Linked DNA regions of Caenorhabditis elegans. The protein of the gene in region 1 interacts with the protein of each later gene in a pairwise test. Each region holds a gene or a part of one and is shown on either strand. Other genes may lie near its edges.

Region 1 (4,064 bases):
CGAGATGCACCACTACAACAGTCTTCTACTCCACAACAACGCCTAAAAACACCGTGAGTTTTTCTTCACGCCAATTATATTTTGTGTCGTCTGCATTTCGTTTACCCATTTCAGAATCTCCTTGGCTCAACGTATGAGTAAAATGAGCATCAACCACTGACTTGATTTATTCATTTTTCTTCACAATTTGGTTTTCATATTTGGTTCAGTTCCCCTCATTATCCCATCCCATTGTTTAATTGCCTAATTTTTATCTCTCTGCTTGTATATTTTTTCAATGGTTCAAGGTGGTAATATGATCATATTTCCTTTTGAAAAATTAATAGAGTTTACAGAGCGTCGACTACAACAACAGCGAGTCGTAGTGGTTCGAGAACATCTTCCAGAGCTTGTCCGCGTGACGATTCCCGCGACTCCCGTCTCTCTCAAGCCAAAAACAACAGTCGTAATAATTCTCGCTCTCGTATTTTCTGATTTTCAAATTCTGTATACTTCTGTTTTTTTTTAAACTTTTTTGAATACTTTAACATATAAAAATGCACTTTTCCTGTAAAGCTGTTTGTCTCAAAAAATTCATTTAAAACTTAAAAATAAAATCATGGGTACCGATATAATGGGTGAGCACGAACTTGCAAAAATACTTTGGAGAAATGGATTCACGATTTGGAAGCAACGGTATGTTGAAAGAACCGTAATAAATGACTGGTGACTGAGTATTTTGTGAATAAATTATGTTGAAAGTCTAAAGATCGGTATGTGAAGCATGAGATGTAGATTCTTGGGAGACGGAAGTTGTTTCCTGTGTGATTGTGGAAGAAGGCGATTCTGGCTCGATGGGTTTCAGAAGAAAGATCGCGTCAGGAAGGTAGTAAGCAGACTGAAATATTTTGATGTTTGAAAAAATTTTCAAATCAAACTTCCACCCACATTGTTCATATCTCCTTCGCAAAGATACGGCAATCTTGTCCATCTGAGCACCTCAAAATTTGCCGGTTTGAAAACATTGACGATCATATGATGAACATGGTCGGCGTAGGTACGACCAGCAACGTTCAGGTAGTTGTCAGGTCGGGTGCTTCGTCCATTTGGATTGAATTCCACGTAATGGCTGACTGGAAGCACAAGCGACACGATGACATTACAGTTTGAGCGGCGAGCGACGTTCCACAAGTCGTTCAACAGCTTTCCTGGCGAGTAATGGCTGAAATTTGCAGCTTTCATTGAATAATCTGAGTTTCTGTTCACTTACCGATCGAGGAGGTTGAAAGCGGTGACCAAATCAAATTTAACATCAGTTTCAGCCCACTCGAGTGCACTGAGAACATTGTATCCCTTCCAGCTGAGCCGGTTTCTCATCTTCTGCAAAAAAACTTTGTTTGTAGTAATCTTGCAGGAGGAGTAACGTTTCCGTTTTTGCAAAAAAATTTAAATTTCATAGTGGGAATTTCAAAACAGCCGGCTTGGCGTTTTTCAAATATTTGGATACATTCGTTGTCCTAGGTAATTCAAACTGGGATAACTGCTTGACATTAAGCCAAAAACGCAGAAAAGAAACGCAGAAAACGTTTTCAAAGCATTATGTCATCATAAAATGTTTTACAGTATTCAAAGCCTTTTTTTTTAATTTCAAGTTCTTACCGATGACAACTCTGTAGCATAAACATGCTCAAAGAATGGGCGCATGTGCTCTGTAATGTCTCCGTTGCCAGCTCCAAGATCGAGCACCTGAAATATATAATTGCGGGTTGGTGAAACAATTTCCCATAAATACCTTTTTGTCGGTAGAATTCCAAGATTCTTTCTCGATTGCGAGAAACTTGGCGAACTGATTTTCACTGAAAAGGAACATGTTTCCGAATCCGGTCATTCCATTGATATCAGTTTTCGAATAGATTGTCGACAAAATCATGACCCCAAGGTTGCGAACCGTCTGCCAAAAGAAATTGCTGGCAATTTTATTGGAGTTGTCAAGAAACTGCTGCGTTTCCCCATCTGGCAACGATGCGGCGAACAAGTTTTGTGCAACATCTGAGAGACTTGTCTGAAATTATTAATTTTCAAATTTTCAAAAAATTATCTGAATTAAAAAGAACAAACCTCTGGCTGATACCAATGCTGGGCTCTCAAGCCGTACGTCCGCTCCAGTTGAAATGACATTTTGGCAGTGAAAATCGATAACAATAAGAGGAAGAGAGGTGGTGTGTGGCGAAGACGGTTTGAATGGGGGAACGCTTTGCACTGTTGGCCCGGTGTGTGCAAACGCGCTCGATTCACAATAAGGAAAAAGATGGCGGGTTTGCCGCAGCGGGAACAGTGTGTTGAGAAATTAACTTACAGGTCTGAGTTGATGAGCGAGAAAATTGTTTTCGTCGTATCGAAATGAAGAAAAAAGTAGAATTTAACTAGTTTAAAGCCTGTTTTTAATAGCCACATTGCACTGTCCAAATGCAAAACATACCGTGCCAATTAATATATTTGAAATAAACACCGAATGGGACCCATCAATATGTGAAAAAGAGCCGTTGAAGGACAGAAAAAAGATGTATCAATGTTATCGATGACAAGTTTGAGATTTTCCACCACAACATCGTTGTGCCAAAATCGGGAGAAAGCTACTTGGAAACATTTTTAAAAAATCAGAAAAAAACAATATATTATATTTCCCTCCAAATTGTCTAGTTGTTCCACTATCAGTTTTGAAACCCACACTTTAACTTTTTGAAATCTTTCCAAAAAAAAACCATTTGTAATACCTTTCCACTTCTTCGCCACGTATTTGTCAGATGTAAAGCCATAATTTTTCACTGCAAAACTACAAGTGTGCACAAGTCCATGCAGAACTTGAAATGTATCCCAAATAGTCATTCCCGTAAGCTTCAATCATTTACGTCAAAGAGCCGGTTTTCTCATTTTTCTTCTCATTTGTAATTATGACTCTGAAGCCAATAATTTAGATATTTTTCCCGCTTCTCTGATTCGTGTTTAAGAGATGTTATTTTCAAAACTAAAATCATTATTATTCCCAACTCCTTATACGTGTTCATCAGTTATGCATAGAATATAGAATATCTGAGATCTTATGGGTTGAATCTCCTGAGAATTGAACGATAAAGTCACACCTCTACACTTTTGTTAAAGATTACCATTGTTATTGACTTTGAGTTTTCTTCTTTTCTCCTTTCTGATTCACTCCGGCTCAATCAACTTTTGGGAAGAATGCCCACGTTTCCCGAATTGGTTATGTCTGTTCACAATGACAGTAGATACCTGAACTACGAATTCAAAATGAATACAGTGTCTTGGTGTGTTCTAGGCCTGTCAGCATGCGTATTTCTCGGACTTATCTGTTTTATCAGAATGGCAATAATTTATTGTTCCCAACCTTCCATGGCTACCAAAGCTATCCATCCGCACGTATTTAAATCTATGGTTATTATGCAGTTGTCGGTAAGCTGGTTATATTTTTTCTTTGTTATCTGTTTTTTTTTTCAGCATTATATTTTCTTCATAACTGATAATTTGGCATTCCGCGTGCCTTCTACCGGATTTGTTACAGCTAGCTGTGCTGCCATGGAGCCTAATCACTACTTAAAAATTATTTACCTGTCACAAATGTGGGGAACCTATTGGTCAATGTTTTCCTCACTATTGTTTTCTATCATTCGAATGATTGTCTATGTAACTCCAACCAGACATGCAGAGGTAACAATTATCTAATTAGCCACACTGGCTCGTTTTGTAGAATTGCCGCGCACCCATGCTTGCACTCCCTTTCGCTCAAAAGCAACCATGATATGAGCCTTTGAAGTAGAGGGATACATGCGCAAATCTAATAGTGAAAATACCGTCAACATTATTAATAACGCCTTATTTTCAGTGGTCGTCTTACGTTTTTTACACATTCATTCCGTTGGCTTTCTTCTCACCATTTGGAATTACGTACTTTATGTATCCAGCAAAAGGCTATTGTAGACAATGGGGATCTCCTTTGGGCTTCGGGTCTGTCTTCATCTCCTACACCGAAACCTATGATGAAATACGACACGACATATTCTTCATCCCGT
Region 2 (4,841 bases), on another chromosome or scaffold:
ACGAGAGAAAAGTGGGCTCTCGTCGAATTTTTCGCCGTTTCCTTCGACGAAATACCACAAATATGCGAGCGAGTGTGGAAATTCGCATTTTCTGAAATAGAAATAATCAACTGATATTCAGTTAAAATTAGTGAAAGCAGAGTTTCAATTACTCAGAAAAGGTTCCATATCCACTATATATATATATAATATGGGTTGACTCTAGTACACTTTCGTACGGTATGTAGTAATTTTCTATTTGCATTTTCCCCAGTGTGCCATTCTAAACATTTTTGGAAGGAAAAAAAGTTTTGAACGTTCTAAATAAAGGCATTCTTAAATTGGGATTATTCAAATTTACATTTAAAATTACGGGAGGGAGTAAGAATTGAAAATAAGCTCCTAATTTTTATCCATTTCTCTCTACATTTTTTAGACTTTTAACTAATATTCTCTTTTAAAAATTGACTTAAAGGTCAGTGGTGGCTCAGTCTAGAGCACATATAGAAATCCATTTAAAATAGTCCAAAATGACCGAATATCATGAAAAACAAATCTCAAGTTTAGATTTCTTATAATTTTCAATCAAAGTTTTGGTAAATTGCCAAATTTCCAAAAACTGTGGATTTTTAGTAGTTTTGAGCATTTCTACAGGTTTTCATCAATTTTCTTATTGTCAAAACTCTAATATAAAGACAAAAGCTTTCAGTTGTTTAATTTTTTCTTTCAATCGGAAAACGTGGGAAAATTTTATGAATAATTGGAAACTAAACTCAAGAAATCCTAAAATATTCAATATCAAACGGTTTCTTAAAAACTGTAACTAAAGTGACAGAGACAAACACGAAAAATAGAAAATGGAGAGTCAAAATATGGGGTTGTTGAAAAAATGTTTGGGGAAAATGGAAGGGGAAGGATGTGATTGTTTTCTCTGCATCTTTCCATCTAGAATTGATGCTCTGACCATTCACCAAAACATTAAAAATAACATTTTCAAGACATTCCGTCACATAAAGTTGATAAAAATGGAGGGATGTGACGAAGAATGTGTAACATCTTCTTGTTATGGAGTAGAGCATACTAATTTGCTTTTAGATTTCAGACGCAGATGGTCAGAGGATGTGGGGGGTAATTTTAAGGAAATGCTGAAGATGTGCTTCAGTGGTTTTTGAGTTCTTTTAGACTATCATTATGTTGATGATTCAAAAATAACCATCTTATTTTTCAGATTAATAGCATAATTGTATTTTATTATTTATTCATATATCTTGTTTTAGGTTTTTTATTTGCAAAAAAACTGTGCAAGAACTTACTCAAAATCATTACCAGAAAATTCTTGAAAATATTAAATGTGATTTATTGTAAACCTGATCTATAAAAAACTCTGAAATGGATTTTAAAAGTAAAGTAGCATCGATATCAATTGGGAAGTTGTTAAAAACTACTCTTATGATGCCAAAATTAACAAATTGGAGTGTACAACATTTTGGAAATTGCATTACTTTAATTATTATAGTTTTTAAGGTCAATTAATAAAATTATCGAAAAATGGGTTAATTCTTAGCTGAAAAAAGAGAAAGCCATCGCAAAGAAGGTGTCATTTTATGGAAATTTCCAGAATTAACATTCTTTATTTCCAAAACAAGGCCCGTTTTGATGTTCTATTCAACTGTCAGATACACAAGAATTTTTGGAATTTCCAGGCTTTCCATGGAATTACTTGAATATATCTTTGAGTAATTTTTGTCATAAAATATTCCACATTTGGAAAACTAATTGAAAGATTATAAGTGCACAAAATCCCCACTAGAATCACTCCTTCTTAAACTTGGTTCAAAACTAATTATTTAGAAGTTTTTATACTTCGAATTAAAAAAAAATATTTTTTGAGAACTTGGTTGGCCATTTTATGAAGAAAATGGTCAATCTTGAAGATAAAAGTCAATTTGAGATTAAAAGTGAACACGTTGTATTACAGAGGTGTGCGGCGAGTTGCCAAATAGGGATGGTGATGGGTCGCAACAGATCGACCTGCCTATTTCACAACAGCTTCATTAGCAATCCAATCATAATTTTGAAAATGAAAATTATATTAGCATGACCTCCTGACTCAAATTTTCTTTCGAGGCCGACATTGTATTCATTGAGGTCGCTACAAATGTAGCTCACAGTTGGGTAAGGTCGGCCTGTTGCAACCTATCGCCGCCCCTACTGCCGAATCAGCAGACAACACGGTTATTGGCGACCGGAAAAAGATTTCTTGAAGTAATTGAGAGAGATGTTTATTGCTTTTTATTGCCTACTGAACGCTAATATCACACTCCTGGGAAGATATTTGAATTTTTGTTTTTTATGTATGACTGTTTACAATGGTTGAACACAAAGGTATAACCGCATACAGTAGAGTGTAATAAACTTGTAAAAACAAAACTTGAATGCTTTTTAAAGAAAAGTTGGAAGACAATAGTTTGTGTGTTTTCATACTATATGCTTTACTTTTAAAAATATATACATTTCTATTCAATTAGTAACACATGTTGTTGAAAAGCTTCTCTTTCAAATATCGTTTTTTTAAACTGTAATTACCAGTTTTCCTGGAAAATTGAATTCGATACGATAATTGTTTTTCTTGAAAAATTATGCAATTTTTGAAACCCTGAAAGGATCAAAATCTCCTAGCAGTTTCACACACTTTAAAAATGTTCAGAAAATATATCAAATTCAGCCGAACATCACTAATGTGCCCTACTTGTAGTTTGAAATTTTAAAGTCTCGCAAAACCTGAATCCAAAATCCTAGACTTACCAACTGCTGCAGATTTTCTTCGCCTTCTTGTTAATGGGGAACACCCAATTAAGGAACTTTCCACATTGTCATCATCTTCTTCATTCTCGTGATCTTCCTCATTCTTTCCTCCTTTCATCATTATTCTCTCGTCTTCATTTTCTCCTTTTTCAACTATCTGCACAAGTTGCTCCTTCTTCTTTTTCTTTTTTCGACGACGAATCAACTGCAAACACGGCATGTTTGTTGTGTGTTCGTCTTCTCACTTGAAGGAGAAGCGTCTCCTTGTTTGTGGGTCCGAATTGAGTAAAAATGGAAGAGAGATGGAAGAGAAGAAATAGAAAAGAATATGACAAGAGAGAGAGATGAAAAGTGAAAAAGCACGAAACAAAAAAAACAATTGGATTGCCATAAGTGGATGCTCTTTTTCCATCTTATTATAGATTCAAGAATTTTAGATTTGTGGATCAATTTTAATTCTCATCGATTTTTTGAAATCATCGAAATGTATTTTCAAATATTTTTCGCAATAAAACTACGGTCTATCTCTTGCGCAAAAACTAATAGAGACTGCACATAGTTTTAAAAAATTATTATCGAAATTTTACAAAACCTTGGACAAAAAACAATAAAAATATGCAGACAATCCTCACCTAAGTTGAAATTCAACTCTGAAAATTATATTTCTTCAATTGAAATGTACTTAATAAGTGTGAGTCAACTCAGAATTCAAGAATTATTATTAACAATATTTCTTCAGTATTGACAAAAGCAAAAATAAGAAATAGAGGTGATGATTGATGAGGCTAAGTAAGGGCAAAAAGAAAAATATATTCTTGGCACATCCACCCTTAAGAAAATTTCATTAATTTTCTAGATGCTCAAAAAGGAGAATAAAAAGAGCAGTTTCACGTTTGGACAAGCATACAAGGAAGAATATTTGGAAGGGAGACACAAAAACAACAAAAACTTCCCAAAAAACTGCACAAAAATATATATGTTTTTTGTATGTATCTACTCCTTTTCCGGTCGTTTTTGTGAACATAGTTTATGGATTGCAATTTGTTAAAAAGGTTTTATTCAAAACTTTGTTTTTTTCTCAAATTTCTGTCTGAAAAAAAAATGGAGCATAAATAAAAATAGACGATGCAAACATTCAGGGCGGAAGAACTCCGTACATCACTCTATAAATGTCGATTTTCTGTTTTTCGGACGCTCTTTCCCTTTTTTTCGTTTTTTTTCTCCAAGGAATTACATTATACTACAAATCCCCTTTATTCACGTGTTTGTAAAATATTATGCACTTTCGGGATTTGTTCTACTATTTTTACTTAAGCTGATATTTTGAACTATAGTTGTTTTAAAAATTTATGTTTAACATTTTCAGCTCATCATAATTTTTTTTGGAACTTTTTAATTACCTAACCTCAAAACTTCATTAAAAATGATTAAAAAATGCAATAAAAAACTTGAAAAGCATTCAAAAATTTATAAAAGAATCGAGACAAAGTGCAGGTGGAAAATGCATTCCCAATGCGTTTCGTTCGCCATATCTCCTAAAAAAAATTTGGCGTTTTGCCATTTTCGTCAAAAAATGGGGAAAAGGGGGAAGTGAGGAAAAGCAGGGGTGCAAGGAAAATTGACAGACAGAAGGACAAAAAATGATAGGAAGAAAATTCGAAAGTTTGTAGGCTTCTCATCCATCAAAAAACCGAAAATGAGAAGGAAAGAACAAAGTCTCTGGAGACGATGTCAAGAAATAAGCATGAAAAAAAAGAGGGAAGAGTGTAATTAGCTATAGAAATAAGAAAAAGAACAAGAAAGGCAAAAAAACGGAGGAAAAATGAGAAGGAAATGGGAAAAAAGGAATGAAAAGAGCAAGGGCATGGGAAACAAAGTAATCGTTACTTGAGAAACTGAAATTCAATGGGAACATTTTTCTTAATATTTGGAAGATCTTGATTTTTTTCATTTAAAAATAGAGATTTAAAAAAATAAACTAAAGCTGGAAAAAAGTAACAAATGATAGCATAAATATATTTTTTTCAGAAAAGCTAAAAACAATTTTGCAATATTAT
Region 3 (3,545 bases), 9.8 Mb from region 1:
GGCCTTTTAATTTTAGTCCAGTCTTTACAAAAGGGAGGACAGCCTATTGCTCTAAACTATGTAATATGTTTCTTCCGTTTAATACATGAATTTTTTCAAATACGAGGTGTCCCTCAAAAACAACTTCTGGGTAGAGTAAAACTGACACAATATTTGTTATCAAATGTTATTACAGTGGGAGTACCAATTATGAGTTTTCCCCCATGAAAACGTTTTGAAAGATTTGTGAGAAGTTTGATTACGAAATTCGTTAATTTTAGCACACTTTGAGCAACATATACGTTCAAATTTACGTTCGAAATACCAAGAACCATTACTCTTCCACTGTAAAATCGAACACCTCTGTAGTGTCCCGAATAAAAACAAGAGCTCCAGTTTTTGCATGTGCTCTTGTTTTGCTTTGTGCTCGCTATCAGTCATAAGGCATCATACCATGTAGTTTCTAGTTGTGTGATATAGGCCCACGGAAAGTTTGTTTTTGTGCATACAACTTATTATTGTGTAATGAAAACTACGAACCAATTTATTGTAACTTCACAACAGATCGTATTCGGTGCACAACTCGGAAATGAAACGAGAGATTCTCTGCATACAAATGTATAAACAAAACGTTTTGTTCAGATAATTGGGAAGAGATAGTGAGAAAAAAGGAAACTATCAATAAATAAAAAAGAAGAAAAAAAATCAGATCCAAACTAGTTGGTCGTGGTCAAATTGCATAGGAAGATAAAACGCTTAAGTGAGAGGAGGGGGGAGAGTAAAGCAGATGAGGAAAGATGTATGAGAAATAAATACTTGAAAACATAAATATATAGTGAAAATGGACAGACAAAGTGAAAATTACTGGATGGGTTGAGGGCGGGAAGAAATGACTTTTAGGAATTTATGGAATGTTGGATTGGTTGACCTGTGGGCTCCACGCCGGATCTCCAGCGGCCATCATATTACTGCGGTCCGCCTTTTTGCCCAACGCCATGAATCCGTAAATAACACCCGAGGCGAAGATGGTTCCACTACCAAGGATAGTGTTGAGCTCGATGCACAGGAAGATTGGAATGAGTCCCATGCTGAAAATTGGTATTGTTACAAGGAAGTCAAGAAAGTATTAAACATTGTTGTTTGTGCCCCGCTACACGCCAAGAGAGTATGCTAATTTGTCTTCTAAGCCGACGCGATGTGCACTTGAAAAATGTGCCTCTTGTCACAAGACATCAAAATTTAAGGTTCTTCGGAATATTTTACTACATATTCTTTCATTATGGTCTAGGTCTATGAAATTTGAGAAGAGAAATCATGCGAATAATTTTTCAATTAATACTATCTTAATACTAATCTTATCAAATAGTTTTTTGAAAAAATCATAATTTGAATGACCTAGTAGAACTGTTCTCTCTATCTATCAAAAAAAAAGAGCTGTCACTCACGCTCCGTAGATAGCAGCCTTGTGCCAGAGAGCACGCGATTCGCTGAAACGGGCAATCTTCTCGATGAAGTCGACGAATTGGCAGCAGAATGGGGCCTCCAGCGCAATGACTAATGCTCCAGCTGTCCTGAAAAAATTACAGTTAAAAGGTTTACAGTTGATTCAGTTGTTTTTTCCTTACATTTGAAGAAGAATGGCCACCATGCATGTCGCCGAGAGAGTGATCAGGCCGAGGACTCCGAAGAATAGGGAGAGGAAACCTCCGAGGATGGCGACTCCTTTTGCCAGGAAGCGAACCCACCTGCAACGAATTATGAAATCATTTCTCGTTTTTTTTTCTTGGGAAATAATAGGCTGACTCACCATGGAAACGCGGCATTCGGATCGTGTTCCGCTTGCATTTGCGTGCTAACTCCAGACGCGGCAGCCCCCATGTCGACAGAGAACAATTACCTGCAACGTGAAAATGTGCTTATTGATTTTTCAATAGTAACTTTGAGAAAACCGTTGAGAATTGCTATTTTCACGCGATAAGCTTTGGATTTTTAATCAATAATAAGTTTCCCTTCTTGGACTAATCATATGATAACTGAAAAGGAAGTGAAACAGAAGCGGGAGCAAGAAAAGATAAATGAAATCAGAGAGGAGGTGGCAAAGTGCGGGCTCACCCGCTCTTGCATGCGGCCGAAATGACACGGAGAGCGGGAGACGCGCAGAAAACCAACGCAGCAATGAACCGTTAAACAGCACGCGGGCCGGAATAACGGACTCTCGTTGCATCTTTCATGTGATTAATTGTTTTCCCCAGTGACTTTGGCTGTTTTAATTGTTCCTTATTGAATACTTCGAGTTTTATTTTTTAATTTTCACATGAATTTATGGTTTTCAGTAATGAATTACAAAAACTTTTGGTTTAATATTGATTTTTACAGAGTCAAACAATGGGAGAAACGGGACCAACCAATAATACAAGTTTCAGTTCGCTTGATGATAATTGGTAAGTTATTTTCGTTACAGGTTGAGCATATTTTATGGAAATTCTTACAGGGAAACTGATGTTAATGTGCTGAGCAGTGAGCTCGGTGATTTGGACACTGAAGGAAATGATAAATCAGATTGGATGGTGAGTTTTTATTTTTTATTTTTTTCCCTGATTTTTGATAATTTGAACATTTTCAGCGCCTACTCGGAGTCTCGATGAAACCAAATCCATTGGATGACTGGGATCAGCTGTACAATTTGAATAATCAGTGCGCATTGCGAAATGATTGCCGGAAACTTGCCAACGGTTTGAAGAACAAGAGAAGTGTTCCCGAGTTGGAGTCATTTTTGACACTTTATTGCAAAAAGAGGGGGATGGATTATATCAAGGATATCGGATGGTTGACGGTGAGTTTCTTTTTTTCAAATTGCAAGAAGCAATCATTTTATAGAAGTTAAAATTATATTTCCAGATCCTCGAAAAGATCCTTCTTCTCAATGTTCCTGCCGCCCACGAGTTCAATGTTTTCTTTGCATTCACCACGAAATATATTCCTAAAGACACCCGACCAGATGCTCAGATTTTTGATTTATTCCGATTGCTATTACAGTACCATGATCCTCAGATTAGGTTGGATGATCGTAAAATCAAGCTACATAGCGAGAACTTCAAAAAAAAAAAATTAGCAAATCCCTAGGTTTTTCTTTTTAGTGATAAAATATATGCTTAAAAATGACAGGTTGCTGAGCAGAAACTTTTTGCGCGGAGCCCCCCTGAGGGTTTCATGCTTGAAACATGTATTATATGGAAACGGTTGTGCAAATTATTTAGTGAAAGCAAATTCAAACGGCTCAGGTTTTAGATTTTATAAATATAAGAAAATATTTTTAGTAACCATTTGGAATCACTTCACTGCTCGCCTTCAATGTACACGAAAAACTGGTTCGCAACTTTATTCTCCAGCAGTATGTCCACAGAATCGTGCCATGAACTTTGGAAGTTATATATTGAGCAGGTAGGAACTGTCCATAAAGTTTCTGAAACAAAAAAAAATTTTCAGGGTGATCCATTCCTTGTGTTCCATCTTGCCATTGTCTTCCTCATCAATGCAAAAGATGAAATTCTGCAAGTGAAACGAGA

What was found.
Region 2: the proteins of metl-9 (region 1) and mctp-1 interact in a two-hybrid assay, tested with the Caenorhabditis elegans proteins (one large-scale study listed by BioGRID).
Region 3: the proteins of metl-9 (region 1) and flwr-1 interact in a two-hybrid assay, tested with the Caenorhabditis elegans proteins (one large-scale study listed by BioGRID).

The regions. Positions count from the first base shown.
Region 1 is NC_003284.9:5,176,958-5,181,021, forward strand, and holds metl-9 (DREV methyltransferase), read right to left. Parts: upstream 2,194-4,064; 5' UTR 2,158-2,193; coding exon 2,098-2,157; intron 2,042-2,097; coding exon 1,772-2,041; intron 1,726-1,771; coding exon 1,639-1,725; intron 1,360-1,638; coding exon 1,250-1,359; intron 1,202-1,249; coding exon 928-1,201; intron 878-927; coding exon 743-877; 3' UTR 562-742; downstream 1-561. Other genes in the region: Zinc finger C2HC domain-containing protein zchc-1A, read left to right, coding at 1-53, 336-474; sru-48 (Serpentine Receptor, class T), read left to right, coding at 3,217-3,447, 3,493-3,702, 3,878-4,064.
Region 2 is NC_003279.8:6,634,426-6,639,266, forward strand, and holds the start of mctp-1 (C2 domain-containing protein), read right to left. Parts: upstream 3,005-4,841; coding exon 2,785-3,004; intron 91-2,784; exon of another isoform or gene 89-90; coding exon of another isoform or gene 1-88.
Region 3 is NC_003284.9:14,968,396-14,971,940, forward strand, and holds flwr-1 (Calcium channel flower), read right to left. Parts: upstream 1,877-3,545; 5' UTR 1,858-1,876; coding exon 1,787-1,857; intron 1,725-1,786; coding exon 1,605-1,724; intron 1,551-1,604; coding exon 1,425-1,550; intron 1,068-1,424; coding exon 884-1,067; 3' UTR 505-883; downstream 1-504. Other genes in the region: tbc-1 (TBC1 domain family member 23), read left to right, coding at 2,365-2,420, 2,471-2,546, 2,603-2,812, 2,878-3,035, 3,297-3,420, 3,466-3,545.